Cricetulus griseus: one gene and its partners. The protein of the gene in region 4 interacts with the protein of the main gene of each other region in a biochemical or structural test. Links are inferred from orthologs where the notes say so. Each region holds a gene or a part of one and is shown on either strand. Other genes may lie near its edges. The genes, in order: Smurf2, Tgfbr1, Zfyve9, Smad3, Lef1, Wwp2 and Ski.

What was found.
Region 1: the proteins of Smad3 (region 4) and Smurf2 form a complex in vitro, tested with the Homo sapiens proteins (2 studies listed by BioGRID and IntAct, with this or other methods). The link is inferred for Cricetulus griseus from reciprocal best matches to the Homo sapiens genes SMAD3 and SMURF2.
Region 2: the proteins of Smad3 (region 4) and Tgfbr1 form a complex in vitro, tested with the Homo sapiens proteins (2 studies listed by BioGRID, with this or other methods). The link is inferred for Cricetulus griseus from reciprocal best matches to the Homo sapiens genes SMAD3 and TGFBR1.
Region 3: the proteins of Smad3 (region 4) and Zfyve9 form a complex in vitro, tested with the Homo sapiens proteins (2 studies listed by BioGRID and IntAct, with this or other methods). The link is inferred for Cricetulus griseus from reciprocal best matches to the Homo sapiens genes SMAD3 and ZFYVE9.
Region 5: the proteins of Smad3 (region 4) and Lef1 form a complex in vitro, tested with the Homo sapiens proteins (2 studies listed by BioGRID, with this or other methods). The link is inferred for Cricetulus griseus from reciprocal best matches to the Homo sapiens genes SMAD3 and LEF1.
Region 6: of the proteins of Smad3 (region 4) and Wwp2, one has a biochemical effect on the other in vitro, tested with the Homo sapiens proteins (2 studies listed by BioGRID). The link is inferred for Cricetulus griseus from reciprocal best matches to the Homo sapiens genes SMAD3 and WWP2.
Region 7: the proteins of Smad3 (region 4) and Ski form a complex in vitro, tested with the Homo sapiens proteins (8 studies listed by BioGRID and IntAct). The link is inferred for Cricetulus griseus from reciprocal best matches to the Homo sapiens genes SMAD3 and SKI.

The regions. Positions count from the first base shown.
Region 1 is NC_048600.1:119,827,538-119,831,804, forward strand, and holds the start of Smurf2 (E3 ubiquitin-protein ligase SMURF2), read right to left. Parts: upstream 2,820-4,267; 5' UTR 2,805-2,819; coding exon 2,705-2,804; intron 1-2,704. UniProt on the Homo sapiens protein: E3 ubiquitin-protein ligase which accepts ubiquitin from an E2 ubiquitin-conjugating enzyme in the form of a thioester and then directly transfers the ubiquitin to targeted substrates.
Region 2 is NC_048595.1:96,014,148-96,017,987, forward strand, and holds part of Tgfbr1 (TGF-beta receptor type-1), read right to left. Parts: intron 3,535-3,840; coding exon 3,378-3,534; intron 1,265-3,377; coding exon 1,140-1,264; intron 1-1,139. UniProt on the Homo sapiens protein: Transmembrane serine/threonine kinase forming with the TGF-beta type II serine/threonine kinase receptor, TGFBR2, the non-promiscuous receptor for the TGF-beta cytokines TGFB1, TGFB2 and TGFB3.
Region 3 is NC_048595.1:41,016,874-41,021,361, forward strand, and holds the start of Zfyve9 (zinc finger FYVE domain-containing protein 9), read left to right. Parts: upstream 1-1,669; 5' UTR 1,670-1,799; intron 1,800-4,488. UniProt on the Homo sapiens protein: Early endosomal protein that functions to recruit SMAD2/SMAD3 to intracellular membranes and to the TGF-beta receptor.
Region 4 is NC_048597.1:175,281,428-175,285,822, forward strand, and holds the start of Smad3 (mothers against decapentaplegic homolog 3), read right to left. Parts: upstream 2,919-4,395; 5' UTR 2,419-2,918; coding exon 2,213-2,418; intron 1-2,212. UniProt on the Homo sapiens protein: Receptor-regulated SMAD (R-SMAD) that is an intracellular signal transducer and transcriptional modulator activated by TGF-beta (transforming growth factor) and activin type 1 receptor kinases.
Region 5 is NW_023276806.1:27,723,403-27,727,242, reverse strand, and holds part of Lef1 (lymphoid enhancer-binding factor 1), read left to right. Parts: coding exon 1-87; intron 88-1,307; coding exon 1,308-1,470; intron 1,471-3,840. UniProt on the Homo sapiens protein: Transcription factor that binds DNA in a sequence-specific manner. Participates in the Wnt signaling pathway. Activates transcription of target genes in the presence of CTNNB1 and EP300.
Region 6 is NC_048596.1:183,884,765-183,887,823, forward strand, and holds part of Wwp2 (NEDD4-like E3 ubiquitin-protein ligase WWP2), read left to right. Parts: intron 1-620; coding exon 621-754; intron 755-1,060; coding exon 1,061-1,201; intron 1,202-1,684; coding exon 1,685-1,805; intron 1,806-2,119; coding exon 2,120-2,224; intron 2,225-3,027; coding exon 3,028-3,059. UniProt on the Homo sapiens protein: E3 ubiquitin-protein ligase which accepts ubiquitin from an E2 ubiquitin-conjugating enzyme in the form of a thioester and then directly transfers the ubiquitin to targeted substrates.
Region 7 is NC_048595.1:1,092,103-1,096,488, reverse strand, and holds the start of Ski (ski oncogene), read right to left. Parts: upstream 2,908-4,386; 5' UTR 2,710-2,907; coding exon 1,741-2,709; intron 1-1,740. UniProt on the Homo sapiens protein: May play a role in terminal differentiation of skeletal muscle cells but not in the determination of cells to the myogenic lineage. Functions as a repressor of TGF-beta signaling.

The DNA of each region.
Region 1 (4,267 bases), on a different chromosome or scaffold from region 4:
TATGCTGACATAGCAAGCACTTACCAACTTTAGCCTTCTCCTCAGCCCCAGATTATTATTCCTGGGACTAAATCTCATCAGCTTCAAATAGCTTTAAAATGTTTTTTATTTATTTGTTTGTGTATTGTGTGTCTGCATGAGTTTATGGCATCACATGCAATAGGTGTCCATGGAGGCCTAAAGAGTGTTGGATCCATGGGAGCTCAAGATACATGCAATCTTGGGCCACCAAATGTGGGTACTAGGAACTAGATTCAGGTCCTCAGGACTCACTAGTAACAGAAGAGCCATCCCTCCAGCCCCCAACTGATTTTTTTTTTAAGATTTTATTTATTTATTATGTATACAGTCTTCTGCCTGCATGCCATCATAGAGCACCAGATCTCATTCAAGGTGGTTGTGAGCCACCATGTGGTTGCTGGGAATTGAACTCAGGACCTCTTGAAAAGCAGTCAGTGCTCTTAACCGATAAGCCATCTCTCCAGCCCCCCCCAACTGATTTTTTGTAAGTGCTTTTTATATATACTGTTTAATGCTTTCAAAGCAACATCTTATATTTGTAACTCTGAAAGGGAGGATTATCAATATGTGATCTGAAAATGGTAATTTTATTCACTTGTATAAGTAAATTATTTTCATACTCTCTAGTCTTCATTGTACTGCTCTTGTTTCTTGAAAATCTACTTCAGAGATTAGAACCACAGCTCTCTGGCTTTTTCCATCTTCAGTACATTAATTATGGGAGAATTACTCCATAACCGTTCAAAGAATTCATGAATTTCAATATGACAAACTCCTGATTATGCAACTATTATTATGCAACCTTTGCCTAAGGAAGTATGTTTCTGAGGAATTTGTATATATGTTTTTAATCTATCATTTTTTGGTAACAGAACTATGTAAAATATAACCAAGACTGTTTAATTCTTGTTTTCTAAATGTTTCTCAAGAGAGACATTTACACACAATGTTAAGAGTGACATAGCAGGAGAGGGCCAATAGTTCAGACTTACTCCTATCCATCTTTAACATTTAGTAAACTTCTTATTGGAATAATATAAACAAAGGACACAGAAATGCTGATTGATTAAATTTTCACTAATTTTAATTAACACATTGCACTAGCTTCAGATATTATGCAATTATGTGCTAATTTTAATCAATGATAGCTACAAATGTAGCATATTAATACTATAGTACTACCACTGAAGTCCATTAGAGACAATGTCTCTAATGAGCCTAGAGCTGCATACAGATTAAATCTGCTATAGTACTTTGATAATGTTTAATATTCATCTCAAATTCCTCAAAGTGTTTCTATTCTTAAATCTGTACTTCCCAAAGTTGTTCTAGCTAGTCCATCTACCTCCTCTAAAGAAATAATAAGGTAACCAAATTAAGGAAAGTTGTATGATAGTTAATCGCCATTGTGAATTTTATTGGGTTTAGAGTTACCTAGGAGTAGGTGGGGCACACCTGTATATGTTTGTGAGATGGTTTCTAGAGAGGACTCATTAAGGAGAAAGATCAAACTAGATGTGGCTGGCATCAATCCATGAGCTTAGAACACTGGCGGTAAAAAAGAAAAGCCACCAAAATGCCCCGTCCCTGTGCTCTGCTTCCTGGCCCACCATGATGTGAGCTTCTCTGCTGTACTAAGTCCTCATACAATGTTGAGACTGACATCTCAGAAACCAAGAGCCAAAATAATCCTTCCTCCTTTAAGTTGCCCCTGCCCCAGCTATGATTTAAGTAACTAATAGAATAGTATGCTAATAATGTCTCTACATTTCACATGGATAGGGGTATAACCTTCTTGATATGCTTATAGAGAACAGAATAAACCAATTAATAATCAATTCTTTTTTACTGAGACAGTCTCACTGAGTTGCCTTGGCTGGCCTCTAACTCCTCATACAAACTAGGCTGGCCTCAAACTCAGAGATCTACCTGCCTCTGCCTCCTGAGTACTAACATTAAAGGCATGCGCCACAAGGCCTAGTTTCATTCTTTCATTTGACATTTCCTGAGTACTCACTTTATGCCAAGTACTATCATAGGTTCTGCAGATAAAGATACAACTCAATTATCATACCATAAATACCTTTTTTTTTTTGAGGGAGAAATTAGAATCCTTTTATGTAACCCTGCTGTGCTCAAAATCAAGATCTAGGGATTGGAGAAATGAACCAGCGGATAAGTGCACCTCTCTGGTCCTGCAGAGCACCAGAATTCAGTTCCCAGCATCATCCACAAGGTGCCTCATAACTACTTGAACTCCAGTTCCAGGAAATCTGATGCTCTTTTCTGACCTCTCTAGGCTTTCTACATATACACACTATACATACATACCTACACACACACACACACACACACACACACACACACACACACACACACTCAACACATGCACACATATACATAAAGTAAAATAAATATTTTTTTTATAAACCAAGATCCAGGTTTTTATAAACCTGCTTCAAATTCCTGAGTGCTGGGATCATAGGAATAGGCCACTACATTGGCTACAAATGTCTTCTGTTATTTTTGCAAGAAATGTTTTTAAATTTTTTCCAAAAATAACAACAAAAATCTTTTTATATGTATTTGAAGTAGTAACTGGAAAAAACACTTGTGGAAGGGCGGCTACCACACTGTGGGTTAAGTCACTAGTTTCTTTTTTTATTAGAAAGAAGTTGCCTACCTGCAACAAGCATCTGTAATAGTATCAGTGCAATGCCCAGCGGTAGTAACAGAATGGTAACAGAATGGAATGCCCTGCTGTTCTCGTAAGTTGTACTCATAATGAATGGTTGTCTGTGCTTAATTTCAATAAAGCTCCCAACTGCTCATTATATCCTTGCCAAAAATTCCCCTTCCTCCTCCAGACTGCAGTTGCATTCCAATTACAATGCACACTGGAATGAAGCTGTTCAAAGGGGGTAGAGGGAGATAGTCAGATATCCTTCTTTTCTTTGCTCCCAAACAAACAAACTTTCACAATACTGTTCCTGTAACTCAAAAGTTACAGAGAATATTTTAGCCAACATATTTTTCTGCACGTTCTTCAAACTTACGTTGGCACTGTAAAAAGTTAACATGGAAGTCCAGTTTAACACCTCTAAATGAAATCCCAACAAGCTGGCCCAGGCTCCAAAAAATATGCTTCTGTGCACCATTCCTTACCACTGACACATGACAGCAGCAGTTTAGAATTGCCACATGTTATTACAGGAGCTTAGACTATAGCTCTATTGACAGAAGCCTGTGTAGCACATTCAGGGCCCTGGATTCCATCCCCAGCACCACATAAACGAGGTGCGGTAGTATATGTCTATCCACAGAACTAGAGAGACCAAGACTGAAGGAACTGAAGTTTAAGTCTACATAAAAAGTTTGGGGTAACATGGTCTACATAAGGCCCTATCTCTAAAAAAAGAAAAAGATAATATAGGACTTTGTAATAAGCAAAAGTATCAAATACAAATCTAAACACATACATACATTTTGGAGAACTACTTGAAAGTATTTCACTACACATAATTTCTTAGATTTATTCATTTTCATTATGTGTATATGTGCTATACATGTGTGCATGCAAGTGCATGCAGAGTTATAGAAGAGGGCATTGGATTCTGCTGGAGATGAAGTTACACGTCCTTTTGAGTCTCCCAGTTTGGACCACACTGGAGTCCTTGAAAAGAGCATCAAGTGCTCTTAACCACTGAATCACCTCTCCAGCCACTCAGCTATGAATTTCAAACCAGTTTATTTTGTTGGTGGTGGTTTTATGTTTTGTTTTGTTTTGTTTTTTTAAGACAGGGTTTCTCTGTGTGGCCCTGGCTGTCCTGGAACTCACTTTGTAGACCAGGTTGACCTGAAACTCACAGAGAGCTGCCTGCCTCTGCATCCAGAGTGCTGGCATTAAAGGCATGAGCCATTACCACCCAGCTTTAAATCATTATTTCTATGAATTATTTTCTCCAACTTAAAAATGAAAATATATATGTACACTGTTTTAGTTACATCAATTCCCTTGTATTCTGTGTAGGGGCCAAACACTGTTCTATCAGTTACTATTTGTGCTGGCTAGTTTTATATAAACTTGCCACAAGCTAAAGTCATCACAGAGTAGGAACCTCAATTAAGAAACTGCCTTCAACTGGGAGCACACCTTTAATTCCAGCACTCAGGAGGCAGCCTGGTCTACAAAGCAAGTTCCAGGACAGCCAGAATTATAGAGAATAACCCTGTTTTGAAAGGGGGT
Region 2 (3,840 bases), on a different chromosome or scaffold from region 4:
TGTGGCCCATCTCTACATCCAGTAGGTGAAGTGAGGTTCACAAATTTATGTATCTCACCCACATCTGCATCAATAACCCACCTACTTGAGTCATCACTGGGCTTGCAATTTTTGTGAAGGATAGTGTTGTCAACTTGACAAAATCTACCAATCACCTGGAAGACAGACCCGTGGGCATGCCTGTGAGGGATTATTTTGATTGGGAGGACACATCTTAACTATGGGCAGTACTACTTCATAGGCAAGGGATCCTGGAGTGTATAAATAGAGAAAGCAAGCCGAGCACCAGCATGCACTCACTGCTCTCTGCTGCTTGACTGTGGATGTCATGTGACCAGCTCCCTCAAGCTTCTGCCACTGTGACTTCCCTCTATGGTAGCTGTAACTTGGAACCACGGGCCCTTCCTCCCTTAGAATGCCTTTGCCGGAGCATTGTACTACAGCAATGGAAAAGAAATCAAGGCCATTTTGAACCTAGTGTGCTGTGATAACCAGGCTGACACTCTTGACTACAACTCCACCAGACAGAAGATGCGGATATACTCTTATTAGGAGATGTGAATCCCACAAGTCCCTTCCTCTGCTTGTGCCTGTTAATCTGATGTCCTATGCTATAACACCAAGCATACTCTATACATCACTGTCTCAAACTTTCAAGTTCTAAGTCTCACACAGATTCCTAAGCCTAAGAGACAGTGTCTGAGCAAACACTGACAAGTTCTCAGTCTAATATAAAACCAAAAGTTAAAACAAAATCTACAAAGTACGCAACATTAATAATGCAATTGTCATTATATGTCTAAGGATCCTCAACAATCAAGCTGGAGAAAACAACCAGTGTTAAAAAAAAAAAAAAAAAAGATGTAGCTGAGTCCATACTAAAAGCAATTTCTCAGGTGGCCTTTCAAACAACTAAATCCAAAATAACAAGAAGCTAGGTTCTGACACTCTCTGAGACTAAATAGCAACAGAACATGACTCTGGATAAAAGCTGTGTGTTGGTGAGGTTTATCTTTTGTTCCTGTGACATTCTCAGTGGTCACCTGTCAGACTGCTGACAGTAAAATTTCAGTCAAGAGAAAAGAAAACTCTTGACTAATTTCTCATGACAGATAACTGGGGAAAGGAGAGCGATTTACCACCAATGGAACAGCGCCGAGCAATTTCCCAGAACACTAAGCCCATTGCATAGATGTCAGCACGTTTGAAGGATTCAAAGTGTTTCATGTTTATGGAATCATCTAGGACTTCAGGGGCCATGTACCTAAAAAAGAAGCCAGCATTTCAGTCCACTACAAAACATATTAATTACTGTCTCATACACTGTCTTTTACTTCTGGTAAAAAGACACATGGGGTCTCACTATGAAGCCCCCGTGAAAAGTTACTATATATACTAAGCTGCTAAAAAAAACACCTACCTCTGCTTCCCAAGGGTCTGGATTAAAGGTGTACACTATCACACCAAGAAAACTTCTCTTTTTATTATAGTTCTGTTTTTAAAAATGATTCACTCTTCCTATTAAAAAAAAAAAAAACTTCCCAAGTATATAAAGTACAAGGTGAAAAAAAAATCACCCCCTTACCACAAGTGTTAACATGGGTCAGACCTCCTTAAACATGCACAAAACTATCACATAACTGAGATCATATCAGGCTCAAGCAAATATTAAGTATCTAAACTGGTTTGCAAATTAATGATGTTGACTAAATCTCATGAAATGCTGAAATGGCAGCTCCATGCCATCTGCCTTCTGATGAAGGTTTATAAAAGGCACACACTGAACAGCTGTGGCTGTTACCAATACCCTAATGTACATCACCCTCATCTACTATTTAGGGACTACATATTTTAATCTGGAAGCCTCCTCACCAAAACAGAAAAAAAAAAAAAAAAAACAGGAAAGAAGAAAGGGACAAACAGATAAAAGGAATGTCAGTCATGATGATGCTACATTACCAATTACTGGGTTCTGAAGTTTGTTTCTTTTTTGTTTGTTTGTTTTTGGAGACAGGGTTTCTCTGTGTATCCTTGGCTGTCCTGTTTCTCTGTAGACCAGGCTGGCTTCAAACTCAGAAGTCGGCCTGCCTCTGCCCTCCAAGTACAGGAAATCAAGTTGTGCACCACCACTGCCCAGCTCTATAGTTTCTAAAATCCTACTACAGCTACAGGTCCTTCAGACCACTACTGAGGCTCCCTCAGCCAGTCCCCCTGGAACCCAGAAAGTGTAATTATATTTGGATTGACTAAAGCTGCTGGCTTTCTCCAAGTTCAAGACATTAGCTGTGAAGAAAGGTTGTGAGTGCTTTTTAAACACAGTAAGACTTTGAGTCCATATCAGCTTGTCAGCCACATGAAGTGGGTTACTTTATTTAACCAACAAGGTGGTTGAATTAATAGTAACGACACCTATCTATGGAAGTTCTTTTGAGAACGCATGAATGCAAATATAAAAGTGTATTTGGCATTTCAACAAGTACCTGGAACATAAAACTGCTCTTAAGCTTCTTGCAATCCAATGGAATACACAGACCCAGACACATAAATGGTCAGTTAGAATATAATGTGAGAACAGTTAAGTAAATGCCTCCCTCAAATAGTCATTTATCATTGTGCTATGCCAGGAACATGTAAGGGTCCTGGGGACCAAAAAAGGCTTCCTTGAGTCAGGAGTGCTATTAAGGGGGATGTATGTTTTAAGGGCAGCATACACAAACGTTCTAAGGAAGAAAGACAACAGAAAATATGAAAACAGGCTTACTACAGTAGAAACTATAGCAAGTTATAGATGACTATTAGTTATTATTTGTGGTAGTTTGACAGAAAATGACCCCTAAAAGGAATGGCACTATTAGGTTGTATAGCCTTGTTGGAGTTGATGTGGTCTTGTTGGAGACGTGTGTCACTGTGAGGAGGGCTTTAAGTTCTCATATATGCTCGAGCCATACCCAGTGAAACAGACCACTTATTACTGTCTGTATATCAAGATGTAAATCTCTAGCACCATGTCTGCCTGTACACCACTATGTCCCATCATGAAAATAATGGACTGAACCTCTGAACTGTAAGCGAACCATCACAATTAAATATTTTCCTTTATAAGAGTTTCTGTGGTCATGGTGTCTCTTCACAGCAATAGAAACCCTAACTAAGACATTATTGCTCTTACAATTAACCTAGTTAATGATAATACTTTCTAGAAGGGTTGCTCTATCAACAGGTTCATTTTTAAGTTAGGTAACGAGGTTTCAAAGTAGCAAAGACTCTAAAAGCGTGTCAACAGTCTAATAAAGGACCAAGTTTGAGTTTCTGAAGAGATAGGAAAGAAAAGAAGTTGACATAAGGCATTACTAAACACCATTGATTCCTAAGTGTACCTTTTAGTGCCTACTCTATGGTTTGGAGCAATATCAATTGTATCTGTGGCAGAATCATGTCTCACAGCCAATCCCAAGTCTGCAATACAACAGGTTCCATTCTTCTTCACCAAGATATTCTTTGATTTCAAATCTCTGTGAGCAATAGCTGGCTTTCCTATTGGAAACCAAAAGTTAGACATGACTGCTTAACAAGTGACACCAATCACAATTTACTTTTAGATCTCAAAGCTTAGCCTGTCCCAGGATGAAGGCACTTGAGCTACATCAACTATAACAACTATAAGAACTACTACTAACCTCAGTGAATCACTGTGTCAAAAGGGATGAAGTTTTGTTTAAACCTTCAGACAATATAAATCTAAGAACTAAAAAACTAAGGTGAAAAAGTTGTTTGTTTGTTGATCTCTAAGTAAATCTCCAGACTTCTGAGATTTTCATTGGAAAACCATTCAAATTTTTA
Region 3 (4,488 bases), on a different chromosome or scaffold from region 4:
TGGGTGGCTGCTCAATTATTTCTTGAACAGTTCCTAAAGTCCTTATGTAATTTTCTCATGATTTGTTACTATTATGCCATAATCTAAGGTAAGGCAAGATTGCTTATAATATTTTTATGCAGAAAATGTAGTGATTCTATTTTGATACCTGCTGTGCAATAGAATGTCAAAGGATCCAGTATATTAGGCTCTCTTCTTTAGAGGAGGATTATATAAGTGCACTAGTGAAATTCAGAGAAATTTCACTCAGACAAGGGATGGTGAAAATGACCTTTGATGAGGAACACACACACACACACACACACACACACACACACACGGTAGGGGGAGTGAGGTGGGACAAACAAAAACAAGCTGGAGATTAAGAATGACTAAGTGTTAGGATGTTTTGGAATTAACAAAAATTGGAACCATAGGCCAGTCCTTTCATCCCTAACCTTCACAACCAGCTAGGCAGGCAGAAGAAAACAGGTTCAAAATATTACATAACTTTCCAGGGTCATAAAACTATACATGATGTAACTGGGACCAGTGGTATCAGGCTCTGCTTGGCACCAAAGTCTTTGCTTTTTCTAGTATTGCACTCAGAAGAAACAAACAAACAAACAAAAACACCGTACTTGGGAATTTGGGGGACCAAGGGCTTTAGGAATTTATTTCTTTCCCCATTTCTCTTCTGACAGTCTTTTGCTTTTGGTTGTGACATTAGTGCCCTAGAAGCTGGGCAAAATCAAACAGGAGGCATTTGTAAACAAAATTATTGCATAGCCCTCCATATACCCACAATGTCCCTCTTCCAGAGTCTTACCTAGGATTTGGTTAAGGGGTGGGTGGTGGTGAAGTGGTAGAGTAGAGGTGGTGGCCAGGGCTAGGTTATTAAAAGGATGGTTCTTTTCTTACCTTTAAGTTGTTTATCAATTTCAGGACAACACGTTGCTTATTCTCTTCTCTTGGGTCAGCGTTTTATTTATTCTCTATTTTCGGGAGGAAGGTTAGGGGTTAAGGGATTCTGTAGCAAATTTCTGTAATGAATCTGCACAGTAGCCCCCCAAAAGTTAAGATTAAAGATCATTCCTTTATCTGTTTTGGGAAGGGATTTTGCATGTGCTTAGAAAAAGATAAAAGGAAGATTTGTTCTGGGTCACTCTCCTTTCATGCCAACGCACTGAGGGGATTAAAAGGAACCCCCTGTCTTCCATGAGAAATGAACCGAGATTCCCTCACGTTCCCGCTCTCGGGTGCGGGTCCGAGTGACAAGAGCATTCACATACCTTCCGGAGGGAAGAAAGGTGCTGGGGTCTGACGGGGGTGGGGTGGGGGTGGGCCGACAGCTTCCGGCTCCCGGGAAGCCGCGTTAGGGCGGGCCGCGGGCGCGGGCGGCGCAGGGCGCACGGGGCCCAGCCACCCGTAGGCCGCGCTGCCTTGCGTTCCCTGCCGCCGTACTCGCGCGGCCGCCGCCGCAGTCCCGGCGCCGTAGGGACGTGGGTCCAGGGGCGCTGTGGCCCGGCGGCGCGGGAGCTGGAGCGGCCACCGCGGCGCCCGAGGCTTCGCCGAGCCCGTCTGCCTGCAGCGCCTCCGTCGTCCCGCCGTCGCCTGCGCCCCCGGACGCGCTCGACCGCGCTCCCCCGGACCCGCGTGGCTGAGGCGGCCCCGGAGCCGATGCGGCTGGAGGGGCGCCGGGCCTCGGCCTCCGCCGCAGCGACCGCAGCCCCCTCAGGAGTGCGAGGCTTCGCGGCGGAGCCCTGCTGAGGAGGAGGAGGCTTGCGGCTCAGGGACGACCCCCTGGCCATGGAGAGGCGGTGAGTGTGGCGCGCCGCGGTGCGGTGCGGTGCGGGGCTCGCCGGCTTGCGTCGCTCAGGGGCCCTGGCGCCAGCTCTCGGGCCGGGCGGACGGAGCGTCCTGGCACTGCGGCCGCCGCGGGCACCCCGCAGCCCTGGGGCCTCGGCCCTTTTTCCAAGGGTCCCCCGGGAGGCTGGAGGCGCGCGGGGGACGACTAGGCCCGGTGCTGCGGAGAAGCCCTTGCCCGGGCCTGGGTTCCGGCGCGGCCGGGTATGTGAAGACCGGGCTGGCGGCCGCACCGGTGCCCTTCGCGTTTGTCCCGGGCGGGGCCGAGCGTGCCTTCCTTCCCAGGGCCCTGCTTGCACATCCCGGAGGGAGGGAAGGGACGCTTGTTTGCAAACAGCTTTGGCTTCTCTGCGGCATACCGAGTCCTGCAGAGCCACCCCCTGGGTGGGGAGTGGTGAGTATTGAGGTGCAGAGAGTGCGGGTCCCCGGAGCCCCTGATACTCCAGGAGTAGCATTCACGCCTCTCCTCCTAGAGACACAGCGTTTTGCGTCTTATTTGAGGTGAAATTTCATCACTTGCCGCTAGCTCCTCATTTCCTTCTTATGTTACATCTTGTCTCTGAGCGAGGTCTGCCTTGGAGAAAGCCCCATCCCATCTTTGCCATGCTAAGTTTCCTAGCTAAGCACTCACAGTTCAAAGAAAAAAAAAAAAAAACCTTTTATGAATATGTCTTCTCCCACCTTCAAAGAGACAGGAAATGTTTTAATGCTTCAGTCCTTGGTACAAAAATGTTCCACCTAAATAAGGAACGATTGGCAAGAGAATTTTAAGTCGAGCTAATTATCCTAATAACAAGGACCTGACGAAAATGGGGTAGAGACTCAATTGTAAAAGGAAAATGATTTGTTCTGGTAGTAATGTAAAAGAAATTAGTGTTTGTAGTGTGATACCACAAGTCAGTATTGGGGTGGTGCTTGTTTAGGATAAATGTGATTACAGGTTATTCTTATTCTCCTATTATATAGGGCTTATATGTACATCTAGAACTTTGATTCATGAAAATATACTGTATATATAGTAAATTATTTGGACACAGAGAGGTTCTGTATCGGCGTTCAGTACTTATTTAATAACTAGAGAGCGATTACTGATAACGTCATAGTACGTTTTGATGGTCATTCAAAGTTTAAAGTGAGATCGTGGTGATGGTGACTTGTAAAATTATTATTGGTCTTAAATGAAAAATGCTGACTGGTCCAATTTACAACCAGGCATTTGTTTAAAAAATATGAAATATGTTACTAATTACCGGAGTTAAAGCCATTAGTTAACATGGGTTGTTACTTGTAAGACTCCTGACTTAACTTTCCTATACAGCATGGGAATCTCCAGAGGTCTAAGGAGGTTCAGTGTGGTGAAGAATTTTGAGGATCCCTTATGTTAGGTGTTGTAGCTTTGCCTTTGTCAGATCTTGTGTAAGCATTTCTAACTGTAAAAAGTTGGATTGATTAGATATTTTGGTTAATTTAGGTCTTAAAAGTCGAATTCTTTTCTCATTGTGTCTCTGAAGACCAATATTAGAATCAGTTGGGAGTGCTGATTAAAAATTCGATTCCTGGTCCCCTACATCAGAATTGTGGGTATAACAGTAACTCAAAGATTGTGATTTTTATCAACCTTCCTGATTCTTAGTACTACTAAATGTGAACATTACTGATAAAAGTTAAAAGAGATTTGCTTAGGTGAACAAAAGTACCAGCTTTCTAGCAAAACTATCTTCAGTGGCTTACAGATGTTTTGCATAGCAACAGTTAATGGTTTTATAATGCAGATAGAAAAACTGTGTTTTGAGGGACAGCTGTTTCAGTCCACAAACGTCGAGAGCCTGTTACAGTAATGTTAAGGCTATCAGAGCATTCATCTTGGCAATTAATAAATTTCAGTATTGTCTGTAAAATGCAGTTGGTATACTTAATTTGGAAGGTTTTAGGAGACAGCATTTGAACAAAGTATTGTAATATATAAAAATTTTATACAATTTTAGCTATTAGTAATGTCAGGTTCTGTCTTAGGTGTTCTGGGAAATACAAAAATTACAAGGCTTCTGATAGCAATTAGCTAATTGTGGAAGCAGTACAAGTTTAATTAACTGTTACAAGACAGGGTCAGAAAGTTGTTGTAATTGAGTAAAATGAGCTAGATCTCTCTCTGCTCAGGGTTTCTGTGTCTCATCCAGTATCTTGCCCTTCAAGGGATGGGAGGTCACTTGGTGGAAGAGGACTTGCTTAGAATGTACAAGCCTCTCGGTTTAATTCCCAGAATTGAGAAAAAAATTCATATGTAGTATTCCTTTCTTTTGCAATTCCTGATTCAGTGTTTTCTTTAAAGAAATAATGGCATATGTTGCCTGGAAAGCACTAGTTTTATATTAACTCCTTAGTGAAGAAAGAAAAAATGAATGAGTAGGGGTGGTCCCATTTCTTCCTCTGTTGCTAAGCTACCATTTTTATTCCATGCACTAGAGTTTATTGGCTACTCTTATGTGCTGGCCACAGATTGGCTGGTTGCAAGGTACAAAACTTGATTAAAAGATTATTGCCAAGCCAGGTGTTGGTGGCGCACGCCTTTAGTCCCAGCAGTTGGGAGGCAGAGGCAGGCTGATCTCTGAGTTTGAGGCCAGCCTGGTCTACAAGAGCTAGTTC
Region 4 (4,395 bases):
ACCCAAGCAACTGGGTCTCTCTAGTTGAGAAAAGATAAATGAAAACAATCCCAGGGCTAGGAGTGTAGCTCAGTAGCAGAATGCTCACCTAAAATGTGAGCCCTGGGTTCAATCCTCAGTACAACCAAAGAACCAACCAACAAAAACCCTGCTCCCACCCACCACCTTCTTTGTGCAGTCTGAAGATGCCTAGTCCTGGAAGACCTGGGTGAAGTGGAGGTGGTTAGCCTGAACTCTCAGAAGCACACAAACCTTCACCTGCCTGGGACTGGGAAGGGCTGCAAGTGAAAGCAAGATCAGAAGGCAAATGTAGGCCAAGGAAGGCACAGTCTCTCCTCTAAGCTGACCCCAGCCCAAAGATGAACCAAGAACCTTCCAGGCAGAGATCCACCACCCTCCCTGGATAAGGATGCTTTGGGCTCTCAGAGTCCACAACAGTCTGGGAGAAAGGGTATGCTAGCCCCAGTCTTAGGTTTTTCCCTATCTCCTGTGAAGGTCTGTCTGGTTGAAAGGCAAGATCATTTTAGACCTCGCTGCCTGTTCTGTTTTCCAGGCCTTCATCAGGCCTATGACAGTGCCTTGTAAATTGTGAAACACTCTGCCCAGCTGCTTCATAATTGATATCACTTGAGGGGGTTCAAAACATAAAGTATTCAGTGTGGCTGCACCCAGGCGTATTAGGAAAAGGCTATTTCTCCGGATCTGACAGAGACCTGAGACTCAGCCACTCCACTTCGTCAAAAGGATAAAGAAGAATGAGGAGCCAGAGCAGGAGCTAAAACCCAGGTGCCTGTGACCATCACGTCACAGCACCCCCCTAAAGCCAGTTGGCAGAGGCTCACAGGCCAAGCATTCTTCCCAGACAACTGCCTTCGCCTCCCCCTTTATTGATCCCAACCAGGTTTGGGGGTTGGTTGTTTTTGGTTTTGTTTTTTGGCTATTTTTTTTAAGCAGGCATCCCTACCGTCTGTGGTGTTTATTTCCAGGGAAGGCCGACCCTGGGCTCCTGTGGACAGATGCTGCTTTGCGCCTTACTGTTAGGGCTGGCAGCATACACACAGCTGCCTTGAGCAGGTGGCCAAGGATGGAGGCCACCCTGGCCCGGAAGAATGATGACCTCTCTATCTTAGGCCCTGGGAGCTCTCTCTCCATTCCTCTGCAGCTTGGGACACCACCACCTCCCACCACCACCCCCACCCCGCAACATCCGCACCTGCCCTCCTCTGGAATCAATCTTTAAAGATGTCTTGAGAAGTGGAGACAGAAGGCTAAAGTGCCCTCATCCCAGGCGCAGTTATGCTCTGGGAGGCCCTGGGAGTGAAGTCACTGACCCCTTCCATCAGCCATCTGTGAGCTCCCGCCGGACTCCTCTAGCCCGATGGGAAGGATAAAGGAGGTCAGGACAGATGGCAAAGCGTTTTGGGAAAAGAGGTCTCTACAGGAATGCAGGGACAGAGGGAGGCCAGCTCTGGGATGTTTTGTTATCTGTCTGGAGCTGCCTGCTCGGTTCTAGGCACCCGCAAACTCTCAATTAAAATGAAGGCATACCAGGCAGGCGTGGGGTGGGAAGAGGGAATGACCGTACTTTCTGCCACTTGTTTCTCCCGCTTCAAAGTCGGTGCTTTGCTCTGCAACTAAGTGCGTGCGTGCATGCGTGCACAGGGGGCGGGAGGCTGGCACAACCAAATCTAAAAATACTCGATAAAAATGCTAATCCCAAGGCAAAGAAAGAGCGAAGAAGGAATCTGTCAATCAACGGGCTCCCGCTCCTCACCCACAGCTGTACCGACTGCATTCCTGTAGACGAGGAAAAGAAGTGGGGGAACAGAGCTGAAGAAAAGAAAGGGACACACGCCACCACCTCCACGAGCGCGGGGCGGGAGGCGGCGGCGGAGGAGGGGCTCGGCCGGCAGAGCCGAACAAAGCGGGGCCTCTACTTGGAGCCCAAAGCCCAGAGAGTGGGGGGCCAAGCTCAGCAGCACCCCTGCTGCCCACAGGCGGCTAGGGATCCTTGAGGTCTGGAAGCCAGAGTGCCGCATGGAAGCCTGGGCTCTGAGCCTGGACAAATCCGAAGAAGGTTTTGTTTGGGGTCCCTCCACCCACTGCCTGTCCCCAACACTAGAGCGCACACACACGCACACGCCCTCCCCTCTCCACCCTGGCCGCCCTAGAGGGCTGGGCCGGCGCGCCCCCCGTCGCTCCCGGCCCCCACCTGGGGATGGTAATGCACTTGGTGTTCACGTTCTGTGTGGTGATGGCCTTCTCCAGCTCGTCCAGCTGCCCCGTCTTCTTGAGCTTCTTCACCAAGCTCTTGACCGCCTTCTCGCACCATTTCTCCTCCTGCCCATTCTGCTCGCCCTTCTTCCAGCCCAGCAGGCGCTTCACGATCGGAGGGGTGAAGGGCAGGATGGACGACATGGCTGGCACGGGAGGGTCACCGGCGCCCCCGGCGGGACTGGGCGCACTGGGGACGCCGGGGGCGCACAGGGGCAGCTCGGCCTGCGCCGCGCCCGAACTTCGCGTCTAACTCTGGAGAACTTGCCCCGGCGTCCGGGCCGGGGCCGCGGCACTCCAGCTGCGGGGATCGGGAGCACGGTGGCGCCTGAGTAGCTCCACGAGGACCGACGGACTGACGGGCAGGCCCCGGGCGCGCGGGGCGGAGGCGGTGGCCGCTGAGACTCCGAGTGGCAGTAGAAAGTTTGGGTTTCCGCACGGGGTAGCTGTTTGGGTGCCGCCTCCGGGAAGGAAAGTCCAACCCCCAGCCAAACTTTGCTGGCCTGGATGACTCTGGTGAGCAGATCCCTCCGCCTCTGCAGTCCTCCTCCTCCTGTTCCTCCTCCTCCCCGCTGATCGCCGCCTCGCAGGGCCGGCCAGGGCCGTGCAGCGGCGCTCCCCGCTCCTCTCCCGCCCGCTCCCAAGTCTACGTTTCACGCAGCTCCGCGTGCAGGCTTCTTCCCAGCGCTGTCGCCGCCCCCTCGCCGCTCGGGCTCCCCGCTCCTCCCCCGCGCTCAGCTCCGGGGAGGACCCGCGGCCTTCCCCGCCCAGCGCCGCCAAGCGCGCCCACGTGGGCCACCGGGCACGGCGGCCGCGGGACCAGACTCTTGGGGACTCGCCGCCCTCAAGACGCTCAGATGCAGTTGCAGGGACTAGAGAGTGTTAGACTCGCCGGAACAGGCGCGGGACCCCTAGGGTTCGCTGCTCCCTGGAGAGTACTGGGACAAGAAGAGGGGTTCAGTTCCAAGCCCAGGAAGCCGGGGAGCACTGATCTCGCTCACTGGCCCCGGCTGTTTTCCTTTGGTTTGGTGTTTTTTGTTTTGTTTTGTTTTTGTTTTCCCGCTGGGTGAGATCAGACCGACTGACTGCCCGGAGACTGCGGAGGAGGGAGTTGGGAAGGGGGAGAGGGAGACTTAAAAGTGGAGTTAGAGACCTCAGTGACAACTTGAACAATAGCTGGAGCCTGGGGTCCCTTGGGCCTAGTGAACCAAGCTCTTTGCAGAAAACGGGCCTCAAAGACATCTGTTGCATTCCTTAAGGAATGAATGGGAGCGCTTTAGGATTTATCTTTGGGGGAGGGGAAGAATTAACATTGCTGGGTGTTACTGAAATTCGACGCCAAACAAGCAAGAGAGCTTTGTTTACAAAGCAGTGAACTCGCACATACAAAGTGGAACGAAGTTTACTCAAAGTTAGCCTAGGTAGGACACCAAGAGAACCTGACTTTGGGTAGCCCTGGGGCCCAACTATCGGAATTCGGGGCTGGCTGCCCATGGTCCTTTCACGGGCTTGGAGGCGTTACAGCAGGCTCTCAGCTCCTTTACCCTGCGGCTGCAATCCCATCGGGTTAACTCAGTAGGTATAGGACTATGCTTGTTTTAAACAGTGGGAAACCCCACCACCACCGACGGTGGTGAGAAAGAAGTTATTTGCAAACCAAGAGCCGGTGGGAGTTACAAAGACCTATGAAGTGTGGCCAGTCCCACAAAGTCAGCCCAGAAGCTTCAGGGGCCCCCAGCTCTGTCACCGAGGGTGCCCCATCGCCAGCCACAGCTTGTCAAGAGGCTGTGGTTTCCTAGGTGTCTCCTTCCACCTCCCTGAAGCCAAGTCCTGAAAGGAGGAGGATTGATTCTTGAGGCCCAGTGGACCCTAACAAGCTAGGTCCTGCACTCCTGTTGGAGTGTGGCTGTAGCCTCCCCTTCCACTCGGCTTCCCAGCCCTTACCAAGAGACTGAAATGGAGGCGGTCTTAACTGCTGTCTTCAACCTAAGACAGTCTAATTGCTGCCCTCAAAGTCCACGCCCATATTTGCCTGGGAGGCATGACCCCAAGGAACAGAGCCAGGATTTAAACCCAGGTTTTTGTTTTGTTTTGCTTTTGTTTTTGAGGTATTGCTCCTGG
Region 5 (3,840 bases), on a different chromosome or scaffold from region 4:
CCACACAACCGGCATCCCTCATCCAGCTATTGTAACGCCTCAGGTCAAACAGGAGCACCCCCACACTGACAGCGACCTAATGCACGTGTAAGTAGACCCCGCCCCCTCTTCTGTTGTGAGATTCCATGTAGCTCAGCCTGGAAGGCTCTGAGAACAGGGGCTTGATTCTGAGACTGGAAAGGACTATCCGAGTAACAGTTGATGGACACTCACCAGGATGGAGCCCTGGTCTAGATGTAGAGGGATTGTGATCTGTAGACCACTTACCACCCCAGACTTTCCTTTAATGAAGGACAGAGTGGTGCTCGGTGCACATCATTCTGGAAATGCAATTGCCCAGGTTGGAATTCAAGAAAAAGTGGTCATCGAAATCAACACAGAATTCAAGAAAAGGTGGTCATCGACATCAACACAGAATTCAAGAAAAAGTGGTCATCGACATCAGATTCCCTATTGGGCCAGCATTGGCTCAAACTTGTAGAGCCAGGCTATATTACCTTGTTATGGAGGAATTAGAAACTCTGCCTCTTAAGTCTGTGGATGACAAGGGCAAGGCAAGCAATGTATAACAGCCCATAAAGATCTTGAAAATATATTCAAATGAAATTAATTTGGTGAGAAGGGTCAAAATCTCACTGGGGCTAGGGAGCCAGGTCAGTTGTAAGGAGCTTGTCTTGCATGAGTGAGGACTTGAGTTTGAACCCTAGTATCCTTGTAAAAAAGCCAGGTGTAGTGGCACATGTCTGTAACCCCTGCACCAAGGAGGCAGAGACAAGAGGAACCCTGGGGCCAGTGTGGTCCCTAGGCCAGTGAAACACCCTTTCTAAACAAGCAAACAACCAAGATGGATGTCAACTGAGAATCAACACCCAAGGTTGTCCTCTGATATACTGTCAATCACACACACACACACACACACCCCACGCACGTGTGCTTGGTGGGAGGGGCTGGGGGAAAGTGCTTGCTTTTCTCAGTGTCCTTTAATCCCCATCCCCCAAAGTAAACATCCATTGCAGTAGAAAGGGAATGCTTACCTGTAGTTTGTGTGCAGCTTCTTTGGAGGTGACCAAGGGCCTCAGCTTTGGGGCTCTAGTTGGAGCTTTCTCAGAGTGAAGGAGATTTAATTCAGGGTCATTGTGTAAACGAAGAACCCTGTGGTTTGATTGTTTGCAACTTGGGTTTTCATCAGAGGAGCCACACGCTGTTGTTGGTGTCCCAGGGGCTGGGAAGGGTCATCCTCACATTGAATTTGGCAGTGTGAACAGATGTTCTCTCCCGTCTCTTCCCTAACCACCGCCACCTTTCAGGAAGCCCCAGCATGAACAGAGAAAGGAGCAGGAGCCAAAAAGACCTCACATTAAGAAGCCTCTGAACGCTTTCATGTTATACATGAAGGAAATGAGGGCAAATGTCGTAGCCGAGTGCACGCTAAAGGAGAGCGCAGCTATCAACCAGATCCTGGGCAGAAGGGTAAGGAACGGGATGCGGGAACGGTTATGGCAACCATGGCACGGCTTCATTAAAGTGTGCTGAGACTAGTTACACGTCAGGTGGTGTGTGTGTGTGTGTGTGTGTGTGTGTGTGTGTGTGTGTGTGTGTGTGCGTGCACACATGCGCAATTTTGTTTCTGGGAAGTAGGGCACAAGGTACACTGATCGGTGTGTTATAAACCATTTTGACTATGCCTGGGACATAGGAAACTTCCAGGAACTGATAACTGCTTTTGCCACCACTCTGTATGTCAAGTATCTTTATTTGTCTGTGATGATGCTTGGTAACAGTTGCTGAACAAAACAGCCACATCCCTTGCTTTCTTGGAGTATGGTGTTTTGTGGCCAGATATAGATATTAGCAAAAAAAAAAAAAAAAAAAAGAAGAAAAGAAGAAGAAGAAGAAGAAGAAGAAGAAGAAGAAGAAGAAGAAGAAGAAGAAGAAGAAGAAGAAGAAGAAGAAGAAACTAAACTTGGTAGTAAATACAGTGGTTGTGATTAGCAGGAATATGCAAGAGAATCACAGAGGCCAGCAAAGGCCCTTCTGAGGACATTGAACTTACGATGAGACCTGAGGGACATAGCCCTTAGGGGATAGATGTCCCCAACTGGAGTAGTGTGGGGAGAGGGGTGAGGATTGGCAGCCAGTCTCCACAGAAGGAGCTATAGTAGGGCTTCTGGGAGACCAGCCCAGAGGAGAGAGGAAGCCTCACCTTCCCAAACAGAAGCAGAGCTGTAGGGACTGGAGAAGTCATGGTTGTTGTTGTGGTGGTTGTTGCTGTTTTTTAAGACAGGGTTTCTTTGTGTAGCTTTGGAGCCTGTCCTAGAACTTGCAGAGATTCGCCTGCCTCTGCCTCCTGAGTTCTGGAATTCATTCTCCCATTAAAGCCCACAAGTGCTGTTTCTGGGTTGTTCTTTTCCCTTGCATCCCTCCATTAGTCCATGCTGTTACAGTTCCTCACCCCTTGTCATATAGGGAGACGCTAGACTATAACCAGGGTTTGGGAACTCTTAAAATTCCTTCTCCGACAGCTTTCCGAAAGACTAGCCATTCCTTCCAACCGCTTTCCCACAGGATGGAAGAGGTCTTAGCCAGGTATCTGCAGAGCAGTAGGGCAAACTCAAGTTCATCCAATTCAAAAGTTACCTTTTTGCTGACACTGCATTACAATTTATTAGGAATGCTTCATTTTTATGTACCAGTCCCCCCTGTGTGTGCTCTGTTTAGTTTATGCCCCTGTATATGTGTTTTTGACTTTTTTGTTGTTGTTTTGTTTTGTTTTAAGTTCAAACAAGGTAAGGAGGCTCTAGCCACCTCTGGGAAGCATAGAGAGGATTGTGTGTTAGCTGCCATTGATGACACAGTAATGTTCTCCCTACTCAATCCATTAAACATTCATAAAGGCATTTAGGAGGCCGGCAGCCAACACAGAACACAGAAGCAGGCCTTGAGTTATGGACTCCCAGTGGAGAGCCTCAACCCGTTGCTAGTTCCAATCTGTGAGACACAGAGCACTCGAAGCCTGGGCACAGTGGCAGATTATACTCTGTGGTGTTCTGTGTGCAATGCCCTATCTCCCTATGGATTCTTAAACACTTAATAATGATAATTACAGTGATTCCCAAGCCAGATCTCAGCGCAGGAGTGATCCCACCAGCTTCGAAGGGCTCTACCTTAAAAGCCTGAAGGCTGGTGACCACTTTCTCCAGCAGAGGCAAAGAGGGATTGAAGTTTTGGGTTTTTTGTTTTTGTTTTTGTTTCTTGTTTTTTTAATTCCAGCTCACATACCTCTCTTAGCTTTTTCCTTTTTTTTTTTTTTTTTTTTTTTTTGCCTTTGAGTCAGATGTCCCCTGGCCCCGCAGCAGGAATTATTTTCCTGCTCAAGAGGGTGAGGATATGATCTTTGAGGTATGCTTCCTCCTTTTAATGCACATTTCCAACAATTGCTACTTTCTCGGCTCCCTGAACGGTCCCCAGACCCAAGCATGTGTGTCTTAGGGATGGTTCTCATTTGGGGTCTCTCTCTGTCTTTGATTTGGACACCTGTTTCTATTTATAGGCCTCTGGATCTTTGATTAGGATCAGGTTTTCTGCCCTTTGAGCACTCCCTCTGGTGGGGCCTCGCTTCTCGGCTCTTTTAAAGTTCTGGCTTTAAAAATCATGAAGTTTTACACTGGCGTGATTACACTGCTTGAAAGTGGATCTTAAATCCACCCCGGAACATTTTATCTTTTGATTTTTTTTTAAAATTCATCTGTACTGTCTCTAAAATAGAAATGCCCATTCCTATGGATGAATCAAAGTTTTCTTAATATGTATCATAAATATCAATGGCCCAAATCTTATTTA
Region 6 (3,059 bases), on a different chromosome or scaffold from region 4:
GGCTTTTGTTGATGTCCATATTCCCTTCTCTAGAATGCCAAGGGACCTAAGGCTCTGACACTAAATATGGCCATTCCCATCATCTGGAAGTTCTTGGCTAAATCCTGGCAATGGCTCTAAAAGCGGCCACATTCTTCCTGGGGCTAGAGACCTGCCTGGCCCAGCAGCAGACAACGACAGACCAGTGAGACTCTTAGACTATTACTCACCACTGGCTGCCAGCTCTCGCCAGCCTCAGTGTCTGCATTATTTTTGGCCTCTTGTGCTACCCACTCAGAGTGCCAGTGAGTCAGGGCTGCCACCTGGAGCTGTTATGAACAACTTTTCCCTGGTAGTGGGGGACAGGCCTTTGCTAGAAGGGGGAGTGGCCTGGCCAGTGTGCTGGGCAGACAGTGGGCCTGCTTTGCTTGTCCCTATGACTTTCAGGATGGGATAAGTCTATCCCTATGCCCAAGTCAGAAAAAAGGTGCTTGTTTCCCAGGCCCCCCCTTCAGCTAGGGCAGCTGGCTTTCAAGGGGTATCCTCTCGGGGAGGGCAGCTGACACCCAAAGCACTCCTGATCTGCCCCAGGTGCCATCCAGGGAAGTGAAACCCTTTCTCTGTGCCTCTTCCTTGCCCAGGCTCTGTACCATGGGAAGTTCATCGACACAGGCTTCACCCTTCCTTTCTACAAGCGGATGCTCAACAAGAGACCAACTCTGAAGGACCTAGAGTCTATTGACCCTGAGTTCTACAACTCCATTGTCTGGATCAAGTGAGTCCTGGCTTGCCCTGCTCTGATGGAGCCAGGCTCTGATTGGCCAGTTGGCACCCTGACCCTGATTTCCTCTACCATCATCGTCGGAGATTCCTGGGTACTTACCTGGCCTATAGAGATAAGAGTTTCTAAGTCCCTTATAATACAGTTCTAGAATTCTCTCTCTGCAGCAGAAAATGTGCCAAGCCACTGTGCCTGGCCACCTGTGAGTTCGCAGTGCCTCTTGGGTGCCTTAGTAAGGGGCAGGTCAAGGGTGGACCTTGATAAGATGGACATCTTCCCCCTTGGTCTCCTGTGTCCCAGAGAGAACAACCTAGAAGAGTGTGGCCTGGAGCTGTTCTTCATCCAGGACATGGAGATCCTGGGCAAGGTGACAACCCATGAGCTGAAGGAAGGTGGTGAGAGCATCCGAGTTACAGAAGAGAACAAGGAAGAGTACATCATGTGAGCCTCAGGCCTGGGGGAGGGGAGCATGTTACAGAGAAAGGGAATCTACCCTTGTTTTTGTACCTTCTTTGATCAGGCACCACTATGGGGCCCATAGTCTCCACAAACTGCAACAGTATCCTAGGTGCATTGGCCTTGGCTGGTCACATGATTTGAGCTGTGGACCTGGAGCCTCTGGCCTTGGTTACCAGCTCCAGGTTGATCTTTCTATGTTCAAGAGACTTCCCAACTTCAAGGAACTTTTTAAAGAAATAAAAAGCTTAGATGTTGCGGTTTCTCCTGACGGAGGATTTCTGTGTCCAATGTATTTTAGTCTTCCGGCCCTCCAGTGCTGATGTGTAAGCCTTCCACTCACACTCTTTAGGCTGGCTGGTCTATTCCATTAAACCATACAGTTGTGTGAGTCTGAGGCTCAGCGGTTAAAACAGTGCACCAAGCAGGGTGGCCTGGGCTCCATCAGTGGCTTATCTTTGGTTTTAGGTTGCTGACTGACTGGCGATTCACTCGAGGTGTGGAAGAGCAGACCAAAGCCTTTCTGGATGGCTTCAATGAGGTGGCCCCTCTGGAGTGGTTGCGATATTTTGATGAGAAAGAGCTGGAGGTGGGTGCCAAAAGTTGTGGGCCCTTGACTTCAGTGCTTCTAGGCTGCTCCAGATCCATGCTGTGTACCCACAAAAAGTTACCCACCAAGCCCCAAACTTCAGCAAGCTAGAGGCAGCAGTGCAGCTAGTGTCACCTGACCTCAGCCCTATTTCCCTGTGCTTAGAGAGCAGGGGCATTAACATTTCTGAAAAAAGTAGCAGGTTGACAAAGTTTAGGAGTGACCTACTGGTGAGAGGAGGCAGTACCATGTGGGCATGAAGCAGTGCCAGGGGAGGGCTTGATGCAGGCTTGCTGACATATCCCTCCCTACAGCTCATGCTCTGCGGCATGCAGGAAATAGACATGAACGACTGGCAGAAGAATGCCATCTACCGGCACTACACCAAGAGTAGCAAGCAGATCCAGTGGTTCTGGCAGGTGCGTCCTGGGCTCTGTGTCTCCCCTGTTAGCCTGGGGTCAAGGGTCTTGCCAGGGATAGTTCCCAGTTACCCAAAGGACATGAGACCTACCTAGACACCAGACATAAGAACCTTTCATCTTTGATCCATTCCTCCCCGTCCCTACTTGGAAAAGTAGAGGATAAACCTATCTCTAGTCGGGATAGAGGTTGTTGTGTCTATATTGTTTCCAGCTTATGTGACAGAGGTTGTTAGTGTGCTGGGAGCCAAGGGGACTCACGTCCAGGAAGTTCAGCTATGATTGGCTGTGTGGTCTCCTCCAGTCAGATGGGGTGAGAAATGAAGGCACATGTGTCTAGAAAAATGGAGAGCATGCATGGGAAAAGATAGCTACAAACATCCTTACATGTGTATGTGTGTGTGTGTGTTTTATGTAAAGTTTTTGTGAAGGTGTACTTCACATGGCATGCAATTCACCATTTCAGATATTTCAAGGTGTCCAGTTCAGTGACTTTAGCTCTTTGAGTGTGCTGTGCAATTAACAGCATTATTCAACTCCAATACAGTTCATTGCTCCCCAAACAAATCCTTTTTCCCACTCTCAACCTTAGAGTGTCTGTAAAAGCAGAATGTGGGGGAAGGGCGAAGGATGTCAGGCCCAGGGTGTCCCTGAGACCAAGCAGTGTCCCTGGACCCTTGTGGGATGTTCCTGATTCGTATCTGTCTTCCCTGCCCAGTGTGGCCCCACCAGGCCTGGAGATGTCCCTGCTAAGTTCTGAAGTGCTAGGCTAAGGGCACCCCTGATTCCTTGTGAAATTGTAGGTAGTGAAGGAGATGGACAATGAAAAGAGGAT
Region 7 (4,386 bases), on a different chromosome or scaffold from region 4:
ACAAATCACTCGAGAAATGTCTCTTCACTCAGCAGATGAGGCGTCAGACCATTGCCAGGGTGGCTATCAAGGGAAGGGCAGCTACAAACCACGGCGGAAACGACCCAGGCACATGACCATGGCTCAGTGCACTATCCTGTCTTCTAACCCCATAGTGCTGGCACGAGCATCTGAGCCACCTCCTCTGAGCCCAAAGACCCCACACCAGAATCACCAAGCTTGTAAACAGAGAAGGCAGAAGTCTACTCCATTCAATAGTGGCCGGGACAAAGGGACCATGGCAGTCCCCTAAACCTGGATAGAAAGACCACAAACACACATGACCCAAAGCAGACAAACACAAACACAGACACACCCAACTCAGACAAGACTCCTTGCCTGCTCCCAAGATAAGAGGTGTGAATGCTTCCCAGTGGCTCATCCTCACTAGTCCCACATCTCTACAGTAGCCCCAGCAAGTCCACCAGTCGCTATATTCAAATGACTACCTCAGGCTACATTAGCTGACAAGGGTGCAGACAGCCCAGATAGGCCTCCACTGGTAGGACCCACATCAGCCTGCCTACTGCCAAGTCCACTTGAAAAGACCCGCCTGCAACCGCCTGCCATCATGCACTGCCCTAGCTGGGGCAAAAGTGCCATAGGACACACAGTATGTGCACACTCTCTGCAGCCCCCAAAGAATTAGGCAACGGTCCTTCTTCAGAGCCCCTTCCCCCCACGATTCTGACACTCTGCTGGAGGGGCGCCCAGAGAAAACCGGGCTGCAGCATCTATTCACAGATTTAGAAAAAAAAAAAAAAGTTTGATGCAATAGCTGAATTAATTAGGTCTCCCAAGAATAGCTGAGCCAATGCAGCATTCTGTGTGTGCAATTTAATAAGCAGGGATATTTAAAAGTTACAGATACTTAGGATGCATATGCAAAGAAACTTCCTCTGGACCCCAGTGAAAGGTTTTGGTACTAAGTGGCCAGGGTCATGCCAAGAAGATCCCACAAAGCCCGTGACGCACACACGGCACAGCCTAGGCAGGCAGGCCTCCACACCAAGTGCAAGAGCAACAGAAGGAAATGGGTGAGTCTAAAGAAACTGCATACTATCAGCAACTCTGAGTCAGAGAAGCAAGACTCTGCTACCATTGACCAGGCCAAGTGGTCCTCAAGGTGCACCAACAGGAGACTCTAGGGGCTGCAAGTGCCAAGTCTCTGCCAGGACAACTAGCTAGCTTCATTTTAGTGTCTTTGCCCCATGATTTAAACACAAAACAAGAGAGCCAGTAAACATACAAGGCGTATCAGCTGGAAACCACAAGAAGACATCCCTGTCATCAGAAAAAAAGGGGGCAAACTTCATTCTCATCTGTCAAGATCCCATGGAGATCTGGGCCATAAAGTCATAGCCTGGGTTCTTTCTCTTCAGGAAGTCCAAGCTCCCAGAGCTTGAGGCAGCCTTTCTCAGACCTTCAGAGCGTAGCCTATGTGGTCAAGGGCTATGTGTCCTGAGAGGGCTTTTTTCCATTCACTCTACAGTGCTCAGACAGCACCAAGGCGGCCTTATGGCCTTACCCACAGGAGACTAACTAGGCCCCTAATTTCCTGAAATCAAAACAACCCAAAGCCAAATAAGGTCGAACCAGGTGCCCCAACATTTAGAAGCCAGAGTGCCCAGCCCAAGAGGACCACCGCCTCCCCTCCTTGGACAAATGGCTTGCCAACCCCCAAGACCTGGAGACACTTACCCGGGGCACCCTCCGCTTGTACTTGTTGGCATAGTCGAACTTCTCCTTCACGTCGTCCAGGCAGCGGCCAAGGCGGGCCTGCTCCTCCTTGCCTGTGTAGTCCTGGCTCAGCAGGATGTAGGCCCGCCAGTTGGCTGAGTCGAAGCCCCAGTGGCAGGTCCGGTTCTCCAGGGCCTTGTGCGAGTGTACCACGAACTTGTGCGGCGGGTACATGAGGCGGCAGTCGAGGCACTGGATGCAGGCGGCGCTAGGACTGCTGTACAGCTCGGGCACCAGCAGCCCCTTGCACTTGCCGAAGCACTCGTGGTACACGCGGACGCTGCGCTCGCTGAGCTCCAGGCCCAGCGCCAGGCTGGCCGCCAGCTCCTTCTTGCAAGGCGGCGGGTAGGCGCCGCCGTAGAGCAGCGCGTTACACAGGCGCTCGGCGTCCGTCTTGGTGATGAGCCCGCACGAGGGCGCGGAGAAGGGCAGGATGCCCATGACTTTGAGGATCTCCAGCTGGTCGGCGGTGCAGCGCGAGCAGTAGATGTGCAGCTCATCGCACACCGAGTTGATCTGCTGCAGTGAGAAGTCGCGCAGCACCGAGTTGAGGATCTGCGGCAAGCACAGACGCTTCTCGCCTCCCACTACGAAACAAGAGATGGTCTCCCCTTCCAGCACGGTCTCACAGCGCTCGGTGGAGCGATCCGACGGCATGAAGAAGGGCCCGGGCAGTACGGGCGGCGGCGGCTGGATGGCAGGCAGGTGCAGCACGGGCGGCGGCTCCGCGGCAGTGGGCACCGGCGCCGGCACCGTGGCCGCGCCCGCCTCCTTGGCGCTCTCCTTCTTGTAGGCCTCCTGCGCCCAGCGCGCCGAGAAAGCGGCCGGGCCGCCCAGCGAGCTCATGGAGCTCAGGTGGAACTGCTCCAACGTCTTCTGCAACCCCGGGTGCGGCTGGAAGCCGCCCCGGCCGGCCGCCGCCGCTTCCATGGTGCGATCGGGCTCCCCGGGCCGCTCCCGTGCGCCCGGGCCCCCACGGCCTCGCCGCCGCCCCGCGCACCCCGCCGCCGACCGCGACCGCGGCCCCGACGCCCCCCGTCGCCGGCTCACGGCCGATCACGGCCCCGGCCTCGGCCTCGCCCGGGGCGCGCGAAGGCGAAGGCGGGCGGGCGAAGGGGTCCCGCCGCTGGAGCCCGCCGCCACCCGGGCCCGGCGCCACATCACGCGCCCCGCGCCGCGCCGCCGCCGCCGCCGCCCCGGCCCCCCGCGCGCCCCCCGCGGCTCTAGGCGCGGCATGCCCCGGCGCGCGCCGCCAACGCCAACGCCAACGCTCGCGGCCCGGGCGCTCGCGGGGCGCGCGCGGCAGGTGCCGGCCGCGAGGCGCGAATCGCCGCGGCGGCCGAGCCGAGGGGCCGGGGAGAGCGGGGGCGCGGGCGCGGGGCCCGCCGGGCCGTCCTCGCGCGGCGCGGCCGCGCTGCCCCGCTCCTCCCACCGCGCGGCGCCCTCGGGCTCGTCCCGCGGTGCTGGCCGGCCGCGTCGCGCCCGCCGCTGGCCCCCGCCGCCTGCCCGCCCGCGCGGCCGCCCGGCTCCCGGCCGCCCGCGCCCGCGCGCGCCGGCCCCGGGGCGGCGGAGGCGCTCTAGCCCGCGGCTCAGAGCGCGGCGGCGGCGCGGGGCTCGGCGCGCTCGGCGCACATCTTTCGGGCGGCTCGCTCCGGCTCGGACTGAGCGCCGGGAGCTGAGCTCACGCCGCCGCGCGCCCCGCCCCGTACCCCCGCCCCGCCCGCGCCGGCCCCGCCTCCCGCGTTGTTTGTTGCTGTGCGTCCGCCTCAGCCGGAGTGAGGGCCAGGAATGTGACCAGCTTCGGGCCGGCTCTTCCAAGAACGCGCGCTCCCCCTCCCGGGCTCGGTGGCGCTCGGCTACGCCCGGCCCGTACTCGGCCAAGCTCGGCTCCGTCCGCCCACAGTTCGACTCCGCTCGGGTCCCCCGGGCCGGAGCTCGGCCCCGCTCGGCCCCGCTCGGCCCCGCTCGGCCCCACTCGGCCCTACTCGGTCCCGCTCGGCCCCGCCTTGTGAAGGCCGCTGGAGGCGGCTGCAGCGAGGCGCCTGGGGCCCCCCTTCCGGCCGAGGCCGCTTCCTGCGCGGCTGGGAAGTCTCCGGTCCTGCTGACACCACGGTCTTGGGGCCCCGAAACCCACAAGGCCCCTGCCACAACCGCAGACCAGCTGAGTGGCGGTCCGCAGTAGATCTGCGCCGCTGCCTCCTTAGGTCCCGGGGTCCCCATTCTACGGAGATAACTGGGAAATAGCCTCCACTCCCCATACTGCTGGGCGTCGTTCTCTACAGGACCGGGACGCCACGCGACACCCCAGAGTTTGCACTCATAAAAAGGACCCCAGGTGCCCCCTCATGACAAGGATGCCACAAAACATTGGGGTCTGGATACAAGAGCGTCTCAAAGCACCCTAGCGTCTCCACACGACCGAAGTGCCTGGCCCCCTATGATAAGGACACCACAGCATGCATTCCAGGTCCCTGCATAAGGACACCACGAAATACTCAGGACAGGCTGTCCTTATGATGAGAAGATACGAGAGAGAGAAAAAAAAAAAAAATCCAGGTGCCCATACAACCGGAACCTCTCAAAGAATCACCCGGTGATTCTTCTCAA